Drosophila melanogaster: one gene and its partners. The protein of the gene in region 3 interacts with the protein of the main gene of each other region in a pairwise test. Each region holds a gene or a part of one and is shown on either strand. Other genes may lie near its edges.

What was found.
Region 1: the proteins of ATPCL (region 3) and stum interact in a two-hybrid assay, tested with the Drosophila melanogaster proteins (one large-scale study listed by BioGRID).
Region 2: the proteins of ATPCL (region 3) and l(1)G0020 interact in a two-hybrid assay, tested with the Drosophila melanogaster proteins (one large-scale study listed by BioGRID).
Region 4: the proteins of ATPCL (region 3) and CG14253 interact in a two-hybrid assay, tested with the Drosophila melanogaster proteins (one large-scale study listed by BioGRID).

What each region holds. Positions count from the first base shown.
Region 1 is NT_033778.4:21,673,202-21,677,901, forward strand, and holds the start of stum (stumble), read left to right. Parts: upstream 1-1,699; 5' UTR 1,700-2,101; intron 2,102-2,872; exon of another isoform or gene 2,873-3,128; 5' UTR 3,129-3,313; coding exon 3,314-4,125; intron 4,126-4,187; coding exon 4,188-4,655; intron 4,656-4,700.
Region 2 is NC_004354.4:8,716,182-8,722,178, forward strand, and holds l(1)G0020 (lethal (1) G0020), read right to left. Parts: upstream 4,097-5,997; 5' UTR 3,985-4,096; coding exon 3,782-3,984; intron 3,723-3,781; coding exon 3,275-3,722; intron 3,215-3,274; coding exon 1,936-3,214; intron 1,876-1,935; coding exon 906-1,875; coding exon of another isoform or gene 902-905; intron 885-901; exon of another isoform or gene 766-884; coding exon 639-765; 3' UTR 532-638; downstream 1-531. Other genes in the region: CG1785 (uncharacterized protein), read left to right, coding at 1-70, 133-529; CG1789 (uncharacterized protein), read left to right, coding at 4,425-4,928, 5,053-5,262. UniProt on the Drosophila melanogaster protein: RNA cytidine acetyltransferase with specificity toward both 18S rRNA and tRNAs. Catalyzes the formation of N(4)-acetylcytidine (ac4C) in 18S rRNA. Required for early nucleolar cleavages of precursor rRNA at sites A0, A1 and A2 during 18S rRNA synthesis.
Region 3 is NT_033778.4:15,998,263-16,003,226, reverse strand, and holds the start of ATPCL (ATP citrate lyase), read left to right. Parts: upstream 1-1,936; 5' UTR 1,937-2,039; exon of another isoform or gene 2,040-2,046; intron 2,047-2,939; exon of another isoform or gene 2,940-3,132; intron 3,133-3,256; 5' UTR 3,257-3,263; coding exon 3,264-3,422; intron 3,423-4,964. Other genes in the region: Tmem131 (transmembrane protein 131), read right to left, coding at 1-675, 729-1,295.
Region 4 is NT_033777.3:26,977,011-26,984,579, reverse strand, and holds the start of CG14253 (uncharacterized protein), read right to left. Parts: upstream 6,040-7,569; 5' UTR 5,918-6,039; coding exon of another isoform or gene 5,858-5,917; 5' UTR 5,803-5,857; coding exon 5,712-5,802; intron 4,063-5,711; exon of another isoform or gene 3,479-4,062; intron 3,067-3,478; exon of another isoform or gene 2,893-3,066; coding exon of another isoform or gene 2,829-2,892; intron 618-2,828; coding exon 363-617; intron 305-362; coding exon 146-304; intron 86-145; coding exon 1-85. Other genes in the region: CG46313 (uncharacterized protein), read right to left, coding at 5,858-5,917.

The DNA of each region.
Region 1 (4,700 bases), 5.7 Mb from region 3:
TGTCCAAGGCGTATTTATGTCAACCGGAAGTAGGTTTACTGACCCACGTATACCCGTGTGGCTGGCCAAACGTGGACTTCGGCTTTCTTCGGTGGTTTCTTCACCTAAACCCGACTGGTCAGTTGCCGTGGAGCTCCACGGCGCAGGACGATGTATAAGAAGGTATTTGCCCACGGCGGATTAGTTTTTCTACGAACGGCGAGTGCAGTGCATCGGATCGATGCAAATGCGCGTTGAATTTTTTGGGTATTCAGTTTTTTATTTGAAAATCTCTCACCTTTTTTTTTATGACAATAACTCTACAAGTAACGGTGCATTAAAAATTAAAACCAAACTGCCTAAAATCGGATAGAAATCGTCGGATATATCGCAAACATTAAAAACTTCCAACTCGGTTGTGTAGTGAAAAAGCCCAAAACAATTAACTCGTAGATGTCTCTAGGAATTCCCCGACTTGTGACTCCGTGTGACTCCACTGGGGGTTCGAGTTGGACCCCACAAGGGGCGGGTTTTTGGGGGCTAACACGACATTAGCCAAGGATTTCTCCGGCACTGCCACTTAAAAGTCCCCCCGTTCCGAGGGATTCGTGGCTTTGGTTTGGGTGGTCTGTGTTTGCACACATACCTGTCTTTAGGCGTTATTGCTGCCACTGCCGTTGTTGTCTTGATGTTGCAACAGTGCCCGGCTGGCCAAGGAGTTCGTAGCTGCGGGCCAAGTGTTGTTGACTCCTAGCCGCTGCACAAGGCAACGCGGAATTTGTTGCGGTTTTGACCCTATTCCAAAGCCAAGGAAAGTGCAGTGTACTCGCCGAGGGTCTTATACTCACTCAGTCGAGTGCAGGAAAAGCGTCCTTCTGCCGAAGCCTTTTGCAATATTTATGGGCAGAGACACCTTTCACACAGTGATTAAGTGATCCTAATTTTTGGGCGACGCATAACTATTTTTTGACATTCTAGCGGATAAAATATTCAAACACTTAAAATAAGGATATATTTACTTTCAATACTAAATCAATAGGCGTATTTTAAACTGATTTTTTTGAACACAGTAAAGGAAAGTTTTTATTAATACCTATCATTACGTTCAATCAGAGCTCTTATGTGCAATCTCCAACTCCATAAAACTGCATTAAAGTGAAATGAGCGAAAGTGTTCATTGAAATACATGCGTGCATTCAATAGATACAAGTGGCATTAAAGTTATGAGGCATCCCGAAAAGTATGAAAAATTAGCTGACTGAGCTTCTCGGTGGCAGGCAGTGCGGCGTAGAAGTACAAAAGTGTTGGAACATCGCGTGCCACAGACATACCAACAGGTGTCACAGCCAGCCGGGGGAAACTGGGGGAAGCAATCAAAAGTTGTCTAAGAGGCAGAAAGAGCTGAGAAAGAAGCACACGCCGCACAGATGAACACAACGACATGCAAACGGCTAATGCAGCCGCCTCGCTAGGCGGCGAAATGCGGAAAACTCGCGGAAAAGTCGCGGCGAATTGGCGCCCCCGGTCGCCTTTTCTTTTCGGCTTTTCAGTTCGCCAGTCTCGATATCTCAGCGGGTCTGCGTGTGCAAACTGTTGGGGCACCGAGTGTGTGTGTGTGTGGGGGGGGGGGGCATTGTGTGCTGTTTTGGATTTGAAGTGTAGGCAATATTTCTCTTGAAGGCCTCCATTTTGCTCACTTACCGCTGGTCGGCCATCAGTTTAAGTTAGGCAGCGGCCACGTTTCGTCGCGTTTCCATTATTTGTTGCGGCTTTTCAGCAAATACATTCTATTTCCGAATTAGACTAAACTTAAAACCCAAATGTAAATTATATAATGCGCTCCAGGACCAAACTAACACAGTCAGTGTGGACGTGGCAGGTATTAAAATTCGTTATTCAAGTGTGACCGAGCGTTAATGAGATGCAAGAAAACTGCGTGTAATGCGGCAAGCGATTAAAAAACCAATTCGCAAATAGGAAGCTTAAGCCGCCTGGGAGCCGGCCAACTCCCCCAAAACGCGTCATGGCCAAAACAAAACGAAAGGAACGAAAAGGAGCCGGCCAAGTCACTTCCTTTTGGCCCAAAGTGTGTCACCGAAATTCGAGCGGCGGGCCATAAAATGTAGGTTAAATATTAGGCAGAGGAAAATCAATGCGAACAAAGGCCATTCATTCACACCTTTCCTCCACCTTCCCCCCCAAAACCTTCATGGGCTACGTCATTTCGCTAAAATATCTGCGTACCCAGCCGCACAGCTCCAATTAAACCATCGCCTTCTTCTGGTGATAGGATAGTCTCAGCCCGCTGGCTTCCACATCTGCCGGGTCGTTCGACTTCAAGTGCAGTCACTAATGCGGCAATTTGCAACATGCAACGCCGGTGCAGCCAGCCAAGCCGAAGCCATCCGCCCAAAAGCAAATCCCCATCCCCATTCCCCCCATTCAAGCCTTTGAGGCCTCCTCATCAAGTTATGCTCTCGTTAGCGCCAAGACAAGCGTTTGGGAGTTGGGAGTCCGACTCGGATTCGCATATAGCAGCAGGTGCATGGCATACCATAACGATTCCGATTTCAAATCGGTTTGGTTTCGGGGCGGCTTTATCAGCGCCTCGCACGCAGCTATTTATAGTTGAATGTGGAGTGAAATGGCATTAGAAAATAAAGCCGTGCAGTAATAATTACTCTACTATTTTTGCCACAACCAGTGATGGAAGCGGACGTATCCGGGCAGTTGTACCTAATTACTTTTTTTTAATTGCTGATGAATTTAAATTACTTTACTCAAGCTATTAAAAATTTAGGATATTTGAAAAAAGTTACTTGGTATGAAGACAGAAATTACTTTTATTATTATTTTTAAAAATTCGCCCAGGTAAACATACTCAATACCCTTTTCCATCACTGCGAATTGGCAATGAAACCGGCAGCCCTTCAGTTTCGCTCTCCGGTTTTTGGGACTGCCTACTCCGTGCTCCGTGCTCCTCGTTCCGTTATCCGTTCTCCGCCGGTGAAGGCGTCGCGTGTACGTCTCTCTGACATTGCAAGAGGGCCGGAAGGTCTCGCTGGTCGTCTGTCTGTGGAATCAAAAGATGTGCGCACATGGGTGTTGTGAGTGATTTTTAAATACATTCTGTTGCTTCGAATAAACAGCTCCTGGCGTCATTGGTTTTGTGGCACTTAAACTAAAGCGAAGGACGAACGCGGAGTGTCCTGCGTGGAAATCGGCTTCCAACTACTGCAACCACGACTGAATTTCGCAAAAACGCTGCAACAATGGATAGGAAATCATAGTGAATGCATGAGGGCCGAAGATCGGTTAGCACCCATGTCAAGCCATGCAGCAGACCCTCTCGTACTCATCATCATCGCCATCCCCATCCCCGATGCCCATGCCATCAGCCTCAGCCGCACAGACGCCGCCACCGAACCCGAATCTGACACCGAATCTGAACATACGTCCAAGTACGAACCCAATACCACGACCCAGATCCACTGGAGGCGAGTCCGCGTTCCAGCCGGCCATCATCCCGGTTGATTATAGCTATCGCACCCATACCACCCGCTCCATTCTCTCCGCCCAATCGATGGCACCCTCCACGTTCGCCTCCAATCAGAGCTTTGTGCGCCAGCCCTCGGAGTCGGATGCCCAGCCGTATAGTAGCCTCTTTGGGGATCCGGTTCCACCGCCTCTGCAGCCGGATGATTACTTCGGAACAGCAGCATTTGAGACGTTGCGAAATGGGTCTGTGGAACTGCCCAGCTCCGAGGAGGATGCGCTGGTGGCCGCCATGGCGCTGAACGCACTTATTCCTGCGGCCAGGGAACGCATCTTTCCGAGTGTCCCGTACTCGAGGACTCCCCGAGGATCCCTACTGCCTTATCTCCAGCCACCCGACATCCAGATTCTGCCCAACTCGAGCGGTGGCTCCAGTTCAGAGCAACTGGGCTCACCTAACTATCGGCTCCTGGCCCCCGATGACATTCTGAACAAGCCGGACGTTTATGATTTGGAGAACGAGGTCGAGGAGTACACCGTAGTCGGTCAGAGAATGTCTTTCGATGATGAGGAAGATGAGCCGACGAGGACTCCTAGCCAAGCGCCCGCCAAGTTGAGTGTGTCCAGCATCACGACGGAGGACCACAGGGGGTTGGTATTTGAATACACCAATATATTATCCAAACTAATCCTTCGTGATTACCTCCTCTTAGATTACTCAGTGACTCCTATTCGGGAAGGGATTGGTTCCGTCCGGCGCCACAGCACTTTCCAGAGTTCACACGCATCCCACGATTGCGGCCCAGCTCCAAAATGATTATGTCGATGAAGCAGGATGAAGGACCTCTCTCCCCACTGGCCACCATGATCCAGGACATGAACAGCTCGAGCAGCGGCGGAGAGGAGCGAGTGGCACCCAACCAAAGCAGGCCCGTTAGCAGGGACGTTGTACTCTCACCGAAGCAATATCTGGAGGAACAGTTGGGTCTGGAGAGAGGTAGCCAGAGGCAGTCGCTGGAGGACTATAGAATGCCACCTCCACCGGCAGACCCGCCCCCTTTCCGTAGAACTGACTTGACGGAGCAGGATGACAGCCGCAGTGTGGAGCCTGAACATAGCTTAAAGCGGGAAATGTCCCCAGTTATCATCAGGGATTCAATACCTATGGGCGGAGATTATAGGTAAGGTTATCCTGTGGAAAATATCCATAAAGATAATACATATAT
Region 2 (5,997 bases), on a different chromosome or scaffold from region 3:
AGCAAAAGGAGCTGGCGCGTCAAACAGAGCTCAAGAGGAAGCTCAAGCAACAGACGGCTGACCTGATACGGTAAGTTTCTAACTGATGGCGTTGTGGTCCATCTCTAATCTCTATTGTGTTTCTTCATTCAGCATCAAATCGATTCGCCACGAGCTAGACGATGAGGAGGAGGACCTGAATGATCTAAAGAAGCGCCGCAAGCAGCGCGCCGAGAAGGCCAAGTTTGAGCCGAAACGCCTGGGGCGTCACAAGTTCGAGGAGCCAGACCTAGACGTAAATCTGCCCGAGGATATCGCCGGAAATCTGCGCAACGTGAAGACTGAGAGCAGTCTGCTGAAGGACCGCTTCCACACGCTGCAACGCAACAATATGTTGCCCACGACAAAGCTCGTCAGCCGCAAGAAGTCCAAGGTCAAGCGCTTCGAGCGCAACTCCCACAAGGAGCCGGGCGTTAGCTATAATGACCTCAAGGAACGGCGCAGGGCGGCCGCCGCTGCAGCCAAGGCTACTGCCAATATCAAGATATAGTTCAGTTATTAGGTCTCTTTATTTTTAACGGAGCTTACAACAATATGTACTTTTCTATAGAATTAAAATCCACATTCTTTTTCCCCCCAAACGAAAAAAATTATGAACTCTAGATCAGGGACTTGCCCTGACTGCGTCTCTGTTTCGGATTGTTCTTCTTTTTCTTCTTGGACAGCGGAGCTGCCAGGTCGCCATCCTCACGCGTCTCGATTGGTCCATCCAGTCGCTTTACGCCACTGAAACGAAAGAGAGGCAAATACGAAATAAGTTATATTTTTTTTAACTGAGTGATGTTTATAATAAAACGAAACTGGAGACAAATAAATAAACGTGGTTATGTATTAAGCACATTATTAAAAAAAATAGGCGCACCTACCTCTTGACGGAGAGCAGCCCGCTGCCACCGCCTGTTCCGTTTGTTTCCAGCGCCTTGGACCAATCCTCTTCGGTGCCCTTGATTTGGAATTCGTCCAGCTGCTCGGCCTTCAGGCGCTTCAGCTCCTTGCGCTGCTGCTTGCTCAGCTTCTGAGCGGTTTGATCCAGCTCCTTGTCGAGGGACAGAGTCAGCGGTTGCAGTTCCTCGCCCTTGGACAGATCCGCCTCCCGCAGCATGCCGCCTTCGATATGCTCCTCCAGTACCGACCGGAAGCACTGATTGCACCGTTTCATGGCATCGAAAAATTTCGCCAACAACTGGTTACCCGGCATATTCAGCTCCAGACCCAACGCATCCACAGTCTTGCCCTGCACGCCCAGAGCCAAAAGGATGCCCTGCTGCACCAGGTCAAGCTGCAGACCATCGATCCTGCCCTGAAAATACAGCTGGGCAATGTCCGTGAGCAGATCGATGATTAGACGAAACTCGGACTGCTGGCGGGCGTAGCTCTCCAAGCGCTGCAGATCGTGCGGCAAGAAGTAAACATCCAGCATTGGCTTATCGAGTACTTTCAGTGCACTACCTTCCGTGTCCACGGACTTGTTCTTCAGCAAGGCCAAACAGAGTTTCGTCTCGAATTCCCTGAACGTCTTTCCCATCAACTTGAGGACTCTCCTGCGGAAGTCCTGGTAGTACAGGCCCAGCCAGGGCGTGGCATTGGGCGTGTGCAGCATAATGCAGCTATGCTCGGCGGTCAGTTCGTTAGATTTCTGGCTCAAATAGACGGGCACAAAGCCGGCGTTCTTCCAGAACTTCAGCAGCTCGGTGGTGAGGCCATAGGATGTGCCAATATAGTCCACGTGTTCCGGGACACGTTCGTGCAAGCGCTGCAGAAGTGTGGGTATACGACTACGTGGCCGGATTTGTTCCTTCAGCAGACTAAGTTCCTCCTCCTCCACTTCCTCGATACCTATGCAAAATTTAAAGTATTATGTAGTGCATAATAAACCATTGGCGTGCGTGCACTCACCTTTACCAGCATCCTTGCTGGCAACTGGACCGTCCTCCAGATTAGTGTGCTTCCTTGCATAGTAGTCCTTGAGCAGCTGAATGGCCCGCTTGCCATAGCCCATCCTCTGGTAATTCGGATGCGTGGCTACCCTCACAATGCGAACGCCACACAGCTTGGGAAAATCTCGATCGCCATACTGCTCGGCTACGTTCCAGGGAATCAGATCGCCCGCCGCCTTCTTGCCCCTGCCCAGGGAATCGCTGATGCTCTGGGCGGAGATCTGACCCTCCAGTGCCACTTGGATAACCACCAATATCTCTGGCAGGGCGTCCATTCGCTGAACCGGACCCAGTAGACAGAATAGATGATGCGCCGGGGCATCGCTCATCATCTGCAAATCGTTTGGTGTGTTCTTGTAGTGCGAGGACACATAAATGGAGACCAGGCGATGGAGAAAGGCCTCGGCAGCCTTGTGATACGAAAACAGGGCGTCCCTGTCCACATAGTACAGTTCACAAGCATCCGGCGTGGGACAGCCCGAGCTAATACTCGGCACCGTACTGGCATCCAAGCACAGCAGGTTGATCAGCCACTTTTCTATGTCGTCGTTCTCCTGATACCGAATCGATTCCTCCAGTTTCAGTGGCGGCCTTGCATTGTTATCCTTTTGCAGCTGGGAAATGAGCTTCAAGCTCAGCGATCTGCCAGTGCCCTCGTATCCATTTATCGTACTGGCCATGAATACCAAATACGGACCGATCATCTTCTTTACCAGCGGCAAAGGAATGGCAGCCGCCTCATCGATCAGCAGAAGATCGGCTGCGTTCAGCAGATGAGTATCGCTGGGAGCTATGTACTGAATGGTCTGCCTGCTGCTTCTCGTAATATTTATTCTTATTATCGCCTTTTTGTAGTCGGCATTGGTGGAGCGTATAATGGTGTAGTCAGCATGCTCCTGGTACTCCAAGGCATCGAAGCCCTTGAGCACAAATTCAAAGAGCGTGATTAAGTTCTCCGGATGCGGTGAGGTAACGTAGATGTTCACATAGCCAAAGGCGACGGCGGCGGCAATCGACAGACCCAGGGCGGCCGATTTACCACGACCACGAGCCGCTGTTAAGGACATGGGCGGCTTCAGTTGCTTGTCGACCAGCGCCTCAATGAACTGGGCAACGGCATTGGCCTGATCGTAGGTCTTGCAGAGATTAACCAGAGCTCCTGCTGGTTGAACTGTGAGCAGGCTCTCCTTCAGCTCCTTGAGGCTAGCCTCGTTGGGCGATCGACCGGCGCCTGCGGGCTGAAAGTTTAGAAACAAATGGTATTAGCTGCTTTAGAAGATTTACAAGCATCAGCTTACATTCACTGGCTCCACGTTGATGGTCTTGGAGCTAAGTGGCAGCACGGTGAGGTCATCGTTGACCACCAGACAGCGCTTGCAGTCCGCCAGGGAGAGAATGAGTCGCTCATTGAATCGACAGGTCACCGTCTGATGGGCTTCTGTGCGGAATCGCTTGTGCACATCCATGCTCATGGTGTACAACTGTTTCAGCGACTGCAGTGTCTTCAGCAGCAGGATGATCAGACCGCCGCCCTCAACCGTTTCCACAGTTCGAGCCAAAAGATTGGGGGTCAGGGCCTCGAAGTCCTGGAGCACACACACGCCGTAGGTTCGTCCGAGGACTGCGTGCGTCTCGGAGTAGTATCTGCCGTGAATGGTGGTGGCCACTCGAAAGGAATCGAACAGGTCCGCCTCATTGACATCCACTTTGCCCACAGCAATCTTCTTTGCTCGCTTTTTGCCATGACTAAAAATGTATCTAGTTAGCTGAGTTTCTGTGTAATAGTTCTACAGTTGGATACTCACTTGGAGATGGCCTCATCCTTGTTCTTGTAGCACCACAGGACCGTGGGTCGCGCCTTGACCGTCGACTTGGTCAGGATGTCGTAAAGAATGGGAACCTGGTCGCGCGCCTTGTCCCCGATGACGATGAACATGGTTCGGTGGCCCAGCTTGACCCCATTCTCGATCATCACGCGTATCCGGTTGTCTATTTTCTTCTTCACCATGCTTCGGCTTTCCTGCGTTCACTTTTCACTTAAAAACTCCGGTTTTCCGAAGTAAATAATGCAAATGAAATTGTTGCCCGTTCAAAATGCACGTGTGCGGTTTAGAGATGGGCGCTTTGTCGATAGTCGCGACTCAACTATCTACTTTACAATGTCACGGAAATCGTCAATCATATTACCATTGTGAAATGCACATGAATGTTGTTTACACGAAGTCTTAAATCGTAGAATTCGGGTGGGATTTGTATTGATGTCTTCAAGAAGGCAGCTTGAATTTCTACCAATGAGATTTTTTTAAAAATTCCCGATTAACACCACATTCGATGTTTTGAGTCAATGCGATACATTTATCGAGTAGTTGTGCATCTCTAATTCCCCAAGCGCACGTTTATCAAAACAGAACATATTTGATTGCTGTCGAGGATTAGCATAAATTGAAGATGTCATCGTGGAAGAATGCGTCGAAAAGCAACCAGAAGGTGCACAGGGAGCGCCACCAGCCGGAGTCGCGCCAGCATCTGGGATTCCTGGAGAAGAAAAAGGACTACAAGAAGCGAGCCATCGACGCACAGAAAAAGCAAAAGACCTTGAAGCTATTGTACCGCCGGGCGCAGAACAAGAATCCCGATGAGTTCTACCACCATATGATCAACTCCAAGCTGTCCAACGATGAGCACCACGAGAAGGACACGAAGGACGAGCACACGCCCGAGCAATTGGCCCTCATGCAGACGCAGGACCTCAAGTACGTGGTGATGAAGCGCACCATGGAGCGCAAGAAGATCGAACGCTTGAAGGCCTCGCTGGTGGACGTGGATGCCATTAAGGGAGCAGCCAACAAACGTATCAAATTTGACGAAGACGGATACATGGAGTTGGACATGGGCGAATGGCTTTTAAAGCATGATGACGAGGAGGAAGAGGAGGAAAAGAAGAAGAAATCGGTAGGTCACCTCTTTAAAACCAACGAGGTTGTAAGCTTTTGTGAGAAACTAATTTATAATTGATATTATACTTATGATTTATGATTCTACTTGTGTGTAACGATTGCCTTTAAATTTTTTGTAGAAAACAACTGAACCAAACCCCATCAAACAGCAGCGCATCAACGAGCTGAAGAAACGCGAGCAGCGTGAAAGGGAACTCGGCATCGTCCAGCAGAAGATTCAGCTGAAGAACACCCTCAAGCAGCCACGCCTACTGAAGCCGAGGAAAATAAAGCCGGGAACCAAGGACAGTGCGCCCGTCTACAAATTCCGCTACGAACGCAAGAAATAGAATATTTCCCCTCTAGTTAATAAAGCAATTAAGTGTTAGTTGAAGACTTTTGACAAAACTATGATTTTTATTGTTTTGGATTAAGGAATTACATATATAATTCCCAATTTTGAATGCAATTCAAATGCAAGTAACAAGTTAAATGAGATATGGCATCCTAGTTTTGGGTCATTAATTCGAATGTTCTGATCAGAATATTTATATATACCGAATAGAATAATATATACCGAAAAAAAACAAGAAAAAGTAAAAGCGAATGGGTATGTAACTCGACTAAACGCTTTTTTCAGATTCGTTAAATATTTAACGAAATTTAGATCTTTCCAGGGCACAAACCAAATTTAGTGCGAGTTTCGTTAAGTTAGGTACGCTTAGCCAAGTCATGACCCCAACTTCAAACTGAATTTAAACATTTGTAATGTTTTATTTAAAAAGTCAGCTTATTTTTTAAATTCATTCTTCTTATCTCCGAGGAACATTTCAAGACTAATATTTTATATGTGCTCTTGCAAGTTAGTGTATGCAACATAAGTTTTCAATATTCAATGTAACTTTTTTATGTTTGTCTTTTGTAAAAATAAGCAACCGGCTGCAACTTTTCGAATTGAAAACCGCAGGCGACAGACAACCGGGCAAACACTCCCCGTATCTCTTTTTTTTTTTTCTTTTTTGTTTGCCTGCTGGTCCTTGTTTTCCCCGATTAAAAACATATGACACCATTTTGATGAGTCGCGC
Region 3 (4,964 bases):
CTCTGTGAGACTTACGTTAAAGAGCATTAGGGGTATTGCGAACTTGTTCCGCACCACCAGCGATCGTTTTCTTTCCAGCGGTTCACCCTCGACGCCTTCTGGCGAGGTGGTCACAAATCTGGTGGCATTTCTGTCGAAGGTGAGCCCTCCATGGAAGATTTCCGCTCGCACCAGCACTGTAAACGGCTGATCCGCACCAGGACTGGTACTGGACTGGTTACTGTTGATCACCAGCAGATCATTAATGATCTCATCGCCTTCGAATAGGCTGGCATCCAACACTATACTTGTGTTGTTTGCGTCAAACGAGAGACCCGGAATCTGGCGAAGGTAACTGCCGAAGAGTTGGCGACTCTCGTCGTTCCGAACGTCCAGCTTGAACTGTAGTGCATCCGGAGCATTTAAAGTGGCCACACGGCCAAAGTCCGCCAGTGGATTGCGGGCGTACACAGAATGTCGTGGCAGAATCTCAAATTCGACAGGAATAAAAATATCCAGTTCCTGCTCTGCGACCTTGATGCGTATGTAGGCGCTGTGATTGCCAGCTGTGCGGCCGTGAAATGATATCCTAATGACCGGCTTTAAAGTGTGTGGAGGAATTTTCCACAGATTTTGTGGGCCCTCCGAGCCACCGCTGGGCAACTCTAACTGAAACTCGCCGCCGCTGCTGTATATCTAAAAGACATGGTTATGGGTAATATACCTACAGAGTGTTGATTAAAACCTACCTCAAGTATCTGCAGCGGCCGCTCGTGCGGGTTGTACATGTGAATCTCTGGCGTGAGTGTCGCATTCATGGGCGCCTTAATGCCCACCAACGGCTTTAGGCGGTACGGGCACTCACTGCCCTCGCCCTGTACCGCCAACTCGGCCTGGCCGAAGGAGGTGTGAATGAGAAGGTCGGCGGCAATGGCGCCTAGTTGGCGCGGTAGGAACACCACGTTGAAAGTTGTATTGCCTTGCGGCGGCACCTCTCTCGTGCCCAGGAAGCTGCTGTAGAACGCCGGACTTGGTCCGGCCACCGCGTTCAGCTGGAGCGTTCGATTGGAGTGTTGATTGAATAGTGTCACCGTCTGAGAACGCGCCTGGCCGACGGACCACGTTCCAAAGTCTAGACGGGACGGCACAAGCCGAAGGTCCCCCAAATCGTGGATTGGTGCCTCCTGCAGCCCCAGGAAAGTCTCCTGCAGGACCTTTTCACCTTTGGCGCCCAAAGTGAAAAGGAAGATTAGGATGAGCAGGATGGGTTCTGCGAATATTCGCAAAAGCGGCCTCATCTGGACTTGTGTGGGCATGGCGTGCGTTCCCTTGATCCTGGGATGCTGTGTGTGTGTGTGTTCGTGTGGGCGGCGATGGCGCAGCTCCTGGTAACCGACTTTCTGTCCAGCTGCTAATCTAAATTGGAGTTTCCTTGGCGTTGCGCTTTATTTATATTATCCAATATCGCTGGCCAAAAATTATTATCGCTTTTCGGTGTGACCGCCGTGGAATACATAAAACATACCATCCGGCACAGGGAAATACTAATCATATGATCATTTTAAAAATATACCATTAAAGCACAGAATCCTTTTTTAAGGCGCATCAGGTGGCTACATAAATTGCTTGATATATGGGCTTATGTTTAGTTGATTTCTTGCTGGTAGTATAATTTAAGCGTTCAATGGCATGCGATTAAATTTAACATTGTATTGTAGCAGATTATTAAAATAATGAAATATTTATATATTATTAAATATATATAAAAAAATATATATTTAATTTGTTTACTATAAATGCTATTAATATTATAGAGCCTAGCGCATACAGTTAATACTGTATATAATATTACATACTGTTGCGCAGTATTTTAAAACGCGCCAAAAAGTATGCTCGAAAAAAATTAATAACAAAATGTATCGCCATGTATTCGAGGGAAAACAGTGAAAGAGCTATCGAAACTTGGCCATCGCTAGCTAAAGAAACGACAACCGAAAGAAAGTTGCAGTTTAGTTTACGTGTTAAAATTAATCGCAGGTCGTGAAGCTGATTTAACTAAAGTGAGTGCTCTCGTCGCCCGTTAATATACCCGCGTATATACACCCACAATTTCATTGAATAGTGACGAGTACAAAGGAAAACATGACCAAATGAAATTTCGCACAGATCGTTCGGCTTGCTCCACGCACTTACACTCACACACACACACACACACACACACACACACACACACTATAATCACATATTCGCTGAATATTGCAGAAATATTAATGCGAAAATCAGCAAGCATTTTGCAATAATTACTGAAGGCGAAGATTAACAGCTATTTGACCCACGAACGGTGATGCAACAGCCCTATTGATTTTGCCCACTTTCACCGCTTACAACATTTTTAGTTTGGGCTTCGGTTTCGGTTTCGCATTTAGTTTTTTTTAGTTTCACCAGCAGGGCAGCCAATTTGCATACGCATCGGCTAGGCGTGAACTTCGTTTCCAGATGTAAATTAGATCGTGTGTACTTGCAAAGTCATCAGCCCCCTTCAATGTGCGCTCTTCATCGAATTAGATTCCATGCCATTTCCGATTTGCTAGCCATTGGCTGTTCATGTATTTTTGGGAGAAAGTTCGGCCCTCAGCCAAAGTGACCCACTGACTTGACTAACTGGGCTTGATATCCAAGCTGCAATGATATGTTGATAACCGGTTCTACAAAAGGTGCTTCCCCACACCCAACGCAATGGTAATGGTCCAGGGCCAGATCCCGTTGCAGACCTAATCTCTGGGAAACAACCATCTGGTTGAGCGAGAGCCATGTACATATCAACACATAAGCCGAAAATTCTAAAGACCCGAAGCCGTTGGAGTCGCGAAGCTTGAAAGCCGAGGCAGCGCCACGAAATCGAAATCAGAATACGCCTGTTGCTGGCTCATTTTCATGGATGGTGCTGTCGCGCATTCGATTTCAGTTTACTTCCAGACCCGACGACGTGCAGGTTGATTAGCTAGCTGCCCAGCCTGTAGCTACCCAAAGCTGAAGCCGCCCAGCACGCACACTTTGAAACTTACTCGAAACCTATTGCACCTGCACACAGTCGTGCTCTAATCAATTCTAAGTAAATAAATCAAAGTTTGAAAGTACAGACAAAGTCAAACGGTACGCGCGAACACACGAGACCCTCCTTTATTTGTATTTGAAAGAAGGCTATATTAAATCTTAATTGATTTGTTTTTATATATTTTTGTATTTTTGTTTTTTTGTTTTTTTGTATATTCTGTAGCTTCATCATGTCGGCGAAAGCAATCACCGAGGCCTCCGGCAAGGACATCCTGAACCGCCATCTCAACACCCATGGCGCCGGCGCGGCCACTTGCCGTTTTTCCACAGTAAATTCCACGACAGATTGGTCCAAGCTCGCCGTTGACCATCCCTGGCTGCTGACCACGGTGAGTGCCAGTTAAAAATAGCCGCGAAACTCGCGGAACTCGACGATTGCGAATCAGCCGATATGTAGGAACAACAATTGGGCCAGCGACAACAAACGCTCGGCGGGATTGTCATTGAACTTGACCTCGTGGTGGACGCTTCGACCACCACGCCGATGCCGAATGACTAAGCGCGGCTCCTGATAAGAGCGAATTGGGCGCCAGTCGGTCGCGCGAGTTGATCGCTGGAAATTGCGGAGTAGACGGACGGACGCGGGCGCAGACCGACAGCTCACCCCATGGCGCACTCTGGTTTTTATCAGATTGCCGGGGACCCAGTCGTAGGTCGCGTGGCATGGCGTGGTCTTGGCCCCTTTGGTTATCCGCCGGCGGATCAGGCTCACCTCATTTGCGAACACGATAAGCGTGCGTGGAGATTGGGATTCACGATCACGCAGCTATCTCTGATTGACCTTCCGATCGATAGTGGAAAGTTTGGCTGTAGCCAAGTACTTATCTTGAGCACTTATAACGGTTGAGTGGGAAATAAGGGGAAGCTAACATGTTCCGTGTTTGTTTTAGAAAACCTTTATCACCGAAATCCATATGTTCGAAATCTTATCATCAAGTTATTTGTTGATTTTGGAGCGTCTCAATTTATTGACCTTACCTAGCATTGTTGCGCCGCCTGAATTTCTAAAGAATAATTTCAATTCAAATATGCCGGAGATTTTAAAGTGGCGAAGTGTCGCTGAGTCGAGTGGGGGATTCAGGGAACTACTCTACTATCTTTCAAACAATTTTCGCAAAATAATATATTCTATTGAAATGTGATCAGTTAAAACTTATCTATAAGTTGTTTGTTGACTCTAGAGGGAGCGTCCCTATACTTAGTCTTAGTAATCTAAAGGCAGGATTGTGAAACTCTGATTATCAGGAAGGTGTTTTAATTTATGACATGCAGATAGAAGGTATTAACTTTCTGATTTAATAGACTTATTGTCTTGTTGTCACGTTTTCGTTTGAAGTGCATAATACTTTTATTACGTTACTGATAATGATGTTTACCCCACTGAAGGGGGAGAAGCAAACAATCAAACACAATACAACTCCCTTTAAATAGTTTCACTTAGAGCTATTAGTTTAATATTTTGATCTCGTAATTTTATATGCAATTAAGATAGATCCGAAATTTAGTGAGCATAATGGGAGTTCTTTCGGCTTTAATTACACGACAAAGTGAATCGCCTGACGGACATCTCGGATGATATTTCGTAGTCGGACTGTTTGCTCAATTTACACTCGTACGATCTTCTAATAAGCATATGAGATGTGTTTTTGTGTGGGCACAAGTACAAGTTCGGGTAAGGGTACGAGCACTGGCATTGTCATTGGCAATGACGCGGGAACGACCCCTGATGTTATCGGCTGATCTTTTCGACAGATGCTGATCGTTGGAACCGGCTTTTTTACTGACGCGCCGAGATCAGAAGGCACAAGTTCAACGATTTGTCGCTTATTTCATTTATATTTAGCATACATTTAATTAGCCCCGTCCTTTCC
Region 4 (7,569 bases), on a different chromosome or scaffold from region 3:
ACGATCTCTGATATGAGGGGAAATACGTAGACAAACTGAGCTCCTGGTCCTCTTTCCCAGACAGTGGCCATAACATCGATGGACACTGTGATAAAAGAATATATATTATTAACAAATTAAATAAAATTTGCTGCTTTACTCTTACTTGTGCTCAAAAAGTGGCGATCCGCCTCAGCATTGAAAGTGATCTTCGGTGGAGGAGTCGTCGTGGTAGAAATAACCTCCACTTTATTTTCAGCAATGAGACGCTCCAATTTCGGTCGATTCTCGATAGATTCGTAGATATGCGGTAACTTAAAGATTTCTATTAAGAAGTGTTTAATTTGATTATAAAGTACAAGTACATTCTTAGGCTATCTTACGGCTCTCGCTCTTCAGCGATTCAGGTGTGACATCCTGCACGGAGTACTGCCTTCCATAGGCATACTGGGTGGCTTTGATGAAATCCCGATGAAGGATCTCCTTGCTGGACTCATCCATTTTATCAACGCTGCGCTCCCGGAAGATAAGTTTGGCACTGACTATTCCCTCGTACAGATCACCCGATATCATGATCAGCGTTATGTTCCATAGTATGGAGAATACTGCTATCATGACCATGAGACATATTACTATATCTGAATAAAAAACAAAAAAAAGTTTATAATAACATTAGTAATTTAAAAATTTAAAATTTTTAAATACATGGACAGCTGGACAAAAATTCAAAGTCTGAATTTTCTTTGGTTCCATTTTATTCTCTTATTGAATTTAGATTTTGCATTTTGAATATGGCACACAGACGTAAAAATTAGACAATGAAATCATACTTTTAACCTCTAGCACGCTTTAGCATTGCAAACATGTTGTTCTATCAAACGGACCGCTGACAAATTTGAATTTGAAATTAATGGATCGCAAATAGACATGGCTGCATTTGGAAAATCAACTATTTATGGCTCCGCCAGGAGCCGTGGATCAAGTATACGCACTGTTGCGAACAATGGATTTCGGAATTATGAGAATGGAAAACACCAGTGATTGAAGGTTAGACATTCGATAATTTATGGCTTTCTAGTTATGTTCGGCCTGACTTTGTTTGTTTTGTGTAAGAATCCGCTAACTGTGAACTGGTCTTCGTATATTAACGCTTTTGTGTGAGTTTCTATCGGCGGTATGATATCATGGCAAATGTTGTAGAGCTCGGTTAACGAGTCGGTACGAAACATTTTCAGATGACGTCGATACCGTGACTGCCTCCCAATAAAATTCATTTCAATTGATGCAAATATTCCCGCATATTGTTCGAAATAAAGAGAAAACAATTCGCTGGCAGAGTCAACAAACAGATTCGTGGATAAATATACGACTATGCTCGGTGTGCATAATAAAAGTCCCATGGCGGAACCTGTCAAAAAAGGGGAAAATGTTATGTTACCATTCCATTTTATGGTTCATAATGGACAGCTGTATTTTACAAGTTCGCCCATCTATATAGAGAATAGATCATGAGCTGCTGCCGCAGATTTCATGCCCCAAGTGCTTTGAACGCATTAAGCGGAATGTTTTTCTGCTTTTCGGCCGGCCACCGACTCATTTATACACATATAGATACGAAGCGATTTACTGCGCGTTGCACGATCCGTCGCAAAGTGGCACCAACGGAATGACATCATTTCCATCATGAATTCGCTCTCATCTCCGGAACATGGGTAAATAATATTCAGCGGTAGTCGAGAAGTCGACAGTCGTTAGCTCAATCGTTTTTGGCCAGGTTTCGTTACTGTATTTGGCCCAAAAGAGGCGAAGCCTCACAGAGAAAACTATAAATAAATATTACAAATAGCTTTGGGATGTAATCTCCACCAGCATTAGTCAACTCAACATAGTTAATTTTTTGAAATTCCATTTCAAAAATCCTATTGGAATTTGGAATTTCAAGCAGCTAGCAATTTTCCTATCACTCTTGACTAAATGTTTGTTTACAAACGACGGCACCCGGAAGTTTGGCACTTTAGCCAATTTGTTAATGCCATTAACAGGAACCACATGGCGAATACGTACTATGAACTTCGCCCACTCAAATAAACTTTCCCCCACTTATCGATAGATGAGAGCTGCATCAAATGAACTATACACATTTATAGGAAGAAGATCGGCAGACCCAGCAAGACAAGTGTGAAATTGTTTATATTCAAACACAACAAAGTTTATATTAGCGTATGGACCCAAAAAGCTGTTGGCCAATTTAGCACCTTTAATGAGTTGATTGATGCTATAAAAACTGTATAAAGTTGGCAAATTTAGCTAGCAGTTGAAAATGCTGGCAGGCCTTGTGTTTTAACTGAGACTAACGTTACAACAGCTATAATCTATGTCCGATGAATTGAAAAAACATAATGAATTTATATACAAGTTGAAGAGCAGGATTCCCACTGTGAATTCACGTATATCGAATTATTTATTGGGTCGGTCTCTGCCCATTCGAAATATTCAAAACACTCGAATACATATACTCAATCGGTTTATTGATGCTGAAAGACGCGCCCCCAAAAAGCAGCCTCCATGACTGATGGACAAAATCGTGAAATGGCTTTAATTGACTTGAACATTTGCTGTCAATAGCAGCAGACAGTTCACCTCAAATTTAACCAATTGGCTTTTCGCAGTACGACATTCGAATTTCTAAATGTTTCTATGGATCTTGCTTTTTATTTTGGGTTTCACCTTCTTCCGCCCTCCGAAGGCCGACCCCAAAAATGTATTTTAGGAACCAAGGGCTGCCCTCAGTATTATTCTACAAACAGTAAGCATATTAAAATTGTTAAAATATTTTATATATGACGTACGATTTATATGGGCAATATCGCTGGTGGTTAGCTTTCCTTGTTTGTATTTTTTTATCAGCTCCATTTTGGCATGTTAGTTTTGATTGCGGGTTTTTTTTTTTTTAATTTTTCACATCCGAAACATATTTTCAACACATTTATTTGGTATTTATCCACAAAACTTCTAATAATAGTTTTTAATTTACATCTGCTTTCCAAAGGCGATTTTTATGGGTCTTGCTGGAAATAAATTACGTGACTGATGGATTTCAAAAATAGGGCATAAACATTTCTTATTAAGACAATGTTAAACAATTTGTCAAAATCTTGCATTACTTTCTGAATGCTATTAAGGGTTGGTCACAAATAAGAAATATTTTGAACATTGTTCATTTGCCTCCTTATCGGGCAATAGTCTTTATCGTTTGCAATTTGAATTTTCTTAGTTTATGTGATTTCTACGAATCAAGAGGGAATGATTTATTTTGCAAAAATGGGGATTTACAAAACAGCGCACGGAAATTTATAAGAAATATAATTAAGAATTGCGATCATAGATTAAGCTTCCACTTTTCAGCAAACTTAATGTAGCGCGTAGCCTTTTTGATTTTCGCCTCGATTCTGTTCACTTGACCGATTGAAATAATTGAGATTAATTGATTTGAAATTACCGAAAGTGTGCGGGTGTATTTGTTTGTCTGTTTGTACATATGAAAGGTATCCAGGCGAATTTAGCAATTGTATTTCGAACACTTTGGCTATCAATTTACATTTGGCGCGACCAGCAGTTGTTCGGGATTTCAATTTCCATTTCTATTTTCCTGTCACATTACGTATACGTAACGAACCGAAATTAACACCTTTTCGTTCTCGAACATACATACAAACATACATACATATGTGTTTTCCAGTGGCTTAAAGTCGTTCGGAATGGGTGTTTTTGGTTTGGGAAAAGTGACATCCGTCTAAGCTCATGAGTCAAGGTCAAGTTTTGGGTTGGTTTGTGGTGGGAAATGGGAAGGGGATGTAGGCGCCTTATACTCGATTTGACATTTATGTGGGTTATTTACACTGCTTCGATATCACTGATTTGCATAAAAAGCGATGGCACTGTTAATTGCCAAACACGAAATTAATCCACGCGACGTTCGGGCACGCATCCAAAAGATATAAAACCGCACCGAATCGGTTCCAAATTCTGCGTTCTATTCGCTCGCAATCCGTCTGACTTTCGTGACTGTTGTTCAGACACTGAGGCGACTATATGCCAGTCCATAATTCTCCAGCCGATTTCGTCTTTCTCTCGCTCTCATTCGCTCCACAGAGAGCGATATCTACAGCTCAAGTTCACTATGTGTTTGTTGCTTTTAAGGCGGCTCTCCGGAGCGAGCTTCTTCAGTTTTGTTTTGATTTCGAAAATCTGCAACTGGTTGTTTGGCTTTGTTTTGATTTGGTTCTTTCGTGTTGTTGACTGTTTTCTTGTTTTTTTGTTTTCTTGTTTTGTTCATAACCAACGGCGTGCGTGGGATGGGAATTCATTGTTTTATTTTTACATTCTAATTGGTGCGAATGTGGGTTTTGAGAATAACTTTGAAACGTAGTTTAAATTACGAAACAATTTGGCGTACATACCCATATCTCATTTCCATTTAATATATTTGCAGATTTATTTTATTCATAACTAATGAAAATGAGTCACACTGTTTTATTTCTGTGTACTCCTTGCTAACTACGCTTATGAATTTATACTCCCTAAAAAGTCTCCAGCTATTTGCCAAATTCATTATTCCCTTCATGTTTATTTATACAGTTTTATAAATAAACAAAAGCACAATTCGATTTGCATCTTCCATTATTGAGCTGCCTCAATCAGAAGCGCACATTAATCCGATATTCATAGAAACACAAATATCCTGTTCTGTTTGCAAGACCATTGTTTCGGCTTTTGGGCAGTTGCCATGGCCGCAATTATCGCCGATGACCTTGAAAGAACACGCCGCTTTTTCACGTCCAAGGTGAACTTAATTAGCGGCCAAAAGGCCTTCGAAGGACTCGTCGATGTGAGTGCTCCAAATCGCGTGCCTGGCAGGCATCTAGTTTTTTTCTGCTTCCTTATGCTAAACGCGAAACTTCATCTAACAATAACGCTCGTCACTCGGGAGCCGTTTAAGTTTTGAGGGTCTTATCGCAAATACTAGTCTCGTCATTTTCATTTTCATTTTTTTTCAAAAAGCTGATTTGAATGATATCACAATTTCTTAATAAACCACATATATTAAATTTCGTAACTCTACAAAGTAACTTGCTCTGTAATCTATAATTTGCGTAAGTCATGCTTATCGCGCTCCAAGCCTATTTGGAAACCAAAAATAACACCTCCTATTAAACTTGGCTAACCTAAACCAAACAATTACCACCCAAGGAACTTATTTATAGACTGAGTTGCGCCCAATAAAAACCATAATAACTATTTCCTCTGGTTAGAATGCCTTTCGCAGGCGATAAACATTTTTAGCCCTGACGATTTCTATTGAATCCACATCAACACATGTCATAATAAGGTCTTCGCCACCGTTAGATAAACAAGCAAATCATTCCTTGCCCCAATGTTGAAACTGGCGATGACGTCGTCCCCTTATGCAAATCCACAGCAGATAATGCGACGTACATGAATAAATTACAGAGTTACAAGGTTTCAGGTGAGTTATGGTGGTGATCAATCATATTCGAAACGAACTTGACTAGTAAAGTTTATTTTATAAAAAAAAATGCTTGCAATTTAAACATCTTACCATCATTTAAAAGTTATTTGAAAATATTTGTACAGTGATTTCAACACTTAAGCTTGGATGATTCAAGCATGTTCTACAGGGCGTATGCGCATTTTTTGATAAAACCACTTACGTTCGTAGCGTACCACTTCGCTTCTGGCTTCCCGGGTTAGCATCTGCAGACTATCACCAATCCGGCGTATCCTCTGCGGCCGGCTACCCATCTCTGATCCGCGGCACTTGGCAGCCGCATCTAATTACATACGTCTTTTTCGTCGTTTACAACAGACAAACAATTAGCAAAATTGCTAAACAAAAACTTAGCACTTGAGTGCGCATTATTGGACTCGATTCGCTCAGTTCGGTAGGACTTGGCACTAGCTTGGTGTGTCTGACCCGATGGAAAAGAAAAGCCACAACTGGAGACGTTCAGACGACACGACCGCTCGACGAGAACTGCGCGCACGCCAAGCGGCTATGGGTCATTAGGGGTATTTGCCGCTGCTCCGGGGAAAATTCAAATGCTATGGCGTCACTGGATAGTGGTGGTTACGCCACTATGCAAACAGCATAGAGCGTTCATAGATCCCTGCGAGTGGTGGGCTATCTTCGGGGGATGTATAACAAAGAAAAAAAGATTATAGAAGTCGAGCAAAAAAATATATAGCGTAATCTGAAACCTAGTATTTCAAAAAAGAAGTCATAAGCGAGCTATTTTCATATTTTATTTGTAATTATGTTCAAATGTTTAAATACTTTACCATTAAATTTTACCACATTTAGCTGAGACCATTGTCTTGGTACCTGGACATTTGCCATCTCTGATCCCTGGCAGCCAGACGACTTGTCTGTCCCTTTCAGGGGGCGGGCGGGTGCGAACCACCCCTGAAAAAGAAACTACCAAAAACAGGAGTCAAGGCAATGACCTCTCCGGGCCGGGCCCATAAGTCTGGGTCACCTGGGAGACGCCAAATGAGTGTCAGTAGAGCGATTGCGTGTCCAGCTAATTACTAGCAAACGTTAACAACATCTGGCAAGCAGGAAAAAGAAATACAAGTTCGCAGCTGGAGCTCAACTCTTTGAAATTCACGTTATTTATTGTACGAAAAATACTCGATTGTTTCTCAAATAAATTAGTAAATTAATATACATATTAAATCGTAGTTGTAAATGTATGTTGTATATAATGCGTTACTTGGTGTTAGTTACAAATTTCACATAGCATTAATTTGCTTTTCAATTTATTGGGTTTTGTTTGTGTTTTTTTTTTTTATACAAAAATGTTTACTCGCTTAAAGTTAATTGTGTTAATTAGACTACATATTTCATAAAACATTTGTGCAACAAAAAGGCATTGCAATTAACTTTCAGTTGCCCGTTTTACATAAATACAAAATTAACATATCTCGGTGTAAATATATATAAATATAAATCTATCAATTTGATCAATTCGTTGAAACAATTCGCAGTGAAATACAAATGAAGAACATCCCTATACTGGTTAATAAATCATCTTGTAACAATTTCATTTTTACACACAAATAAAAGGCGATTGTTTGAACAATTTTAGTTACTCTGTTGTTTTGTTTTCCTTTCTAAGACTCACACTCCTAGTGACGATTGCCATCGACAGTTGATAGGGTTTTGGATAGTAGAGAATGCCTACAACTAGGCTACCTATACCTATACATATAGCTCGATTACATAATACTAGTAGTTGATGTTTTGCTTTGAATGGGCAGAGCAAGTTTCTATGTTCGAATTTTGATTATTCTTGCATTTTGTGCGTGACACTTAAAACGATTTTCGAATTCTTTGAATTTGCGTCTTGTGGCCAAGCGTAAAATGTGACATAAAAGGAAAGAAATATATTTATAATATTGAATAACAGATTGCTTTGGATAAACAGCGCAGTACAGTGATTAAAACTGAGTAAATGCGTAAAAAGCAATTGTTCAGCTAGCTGATAATCAATTTGCACTCGAATGCTT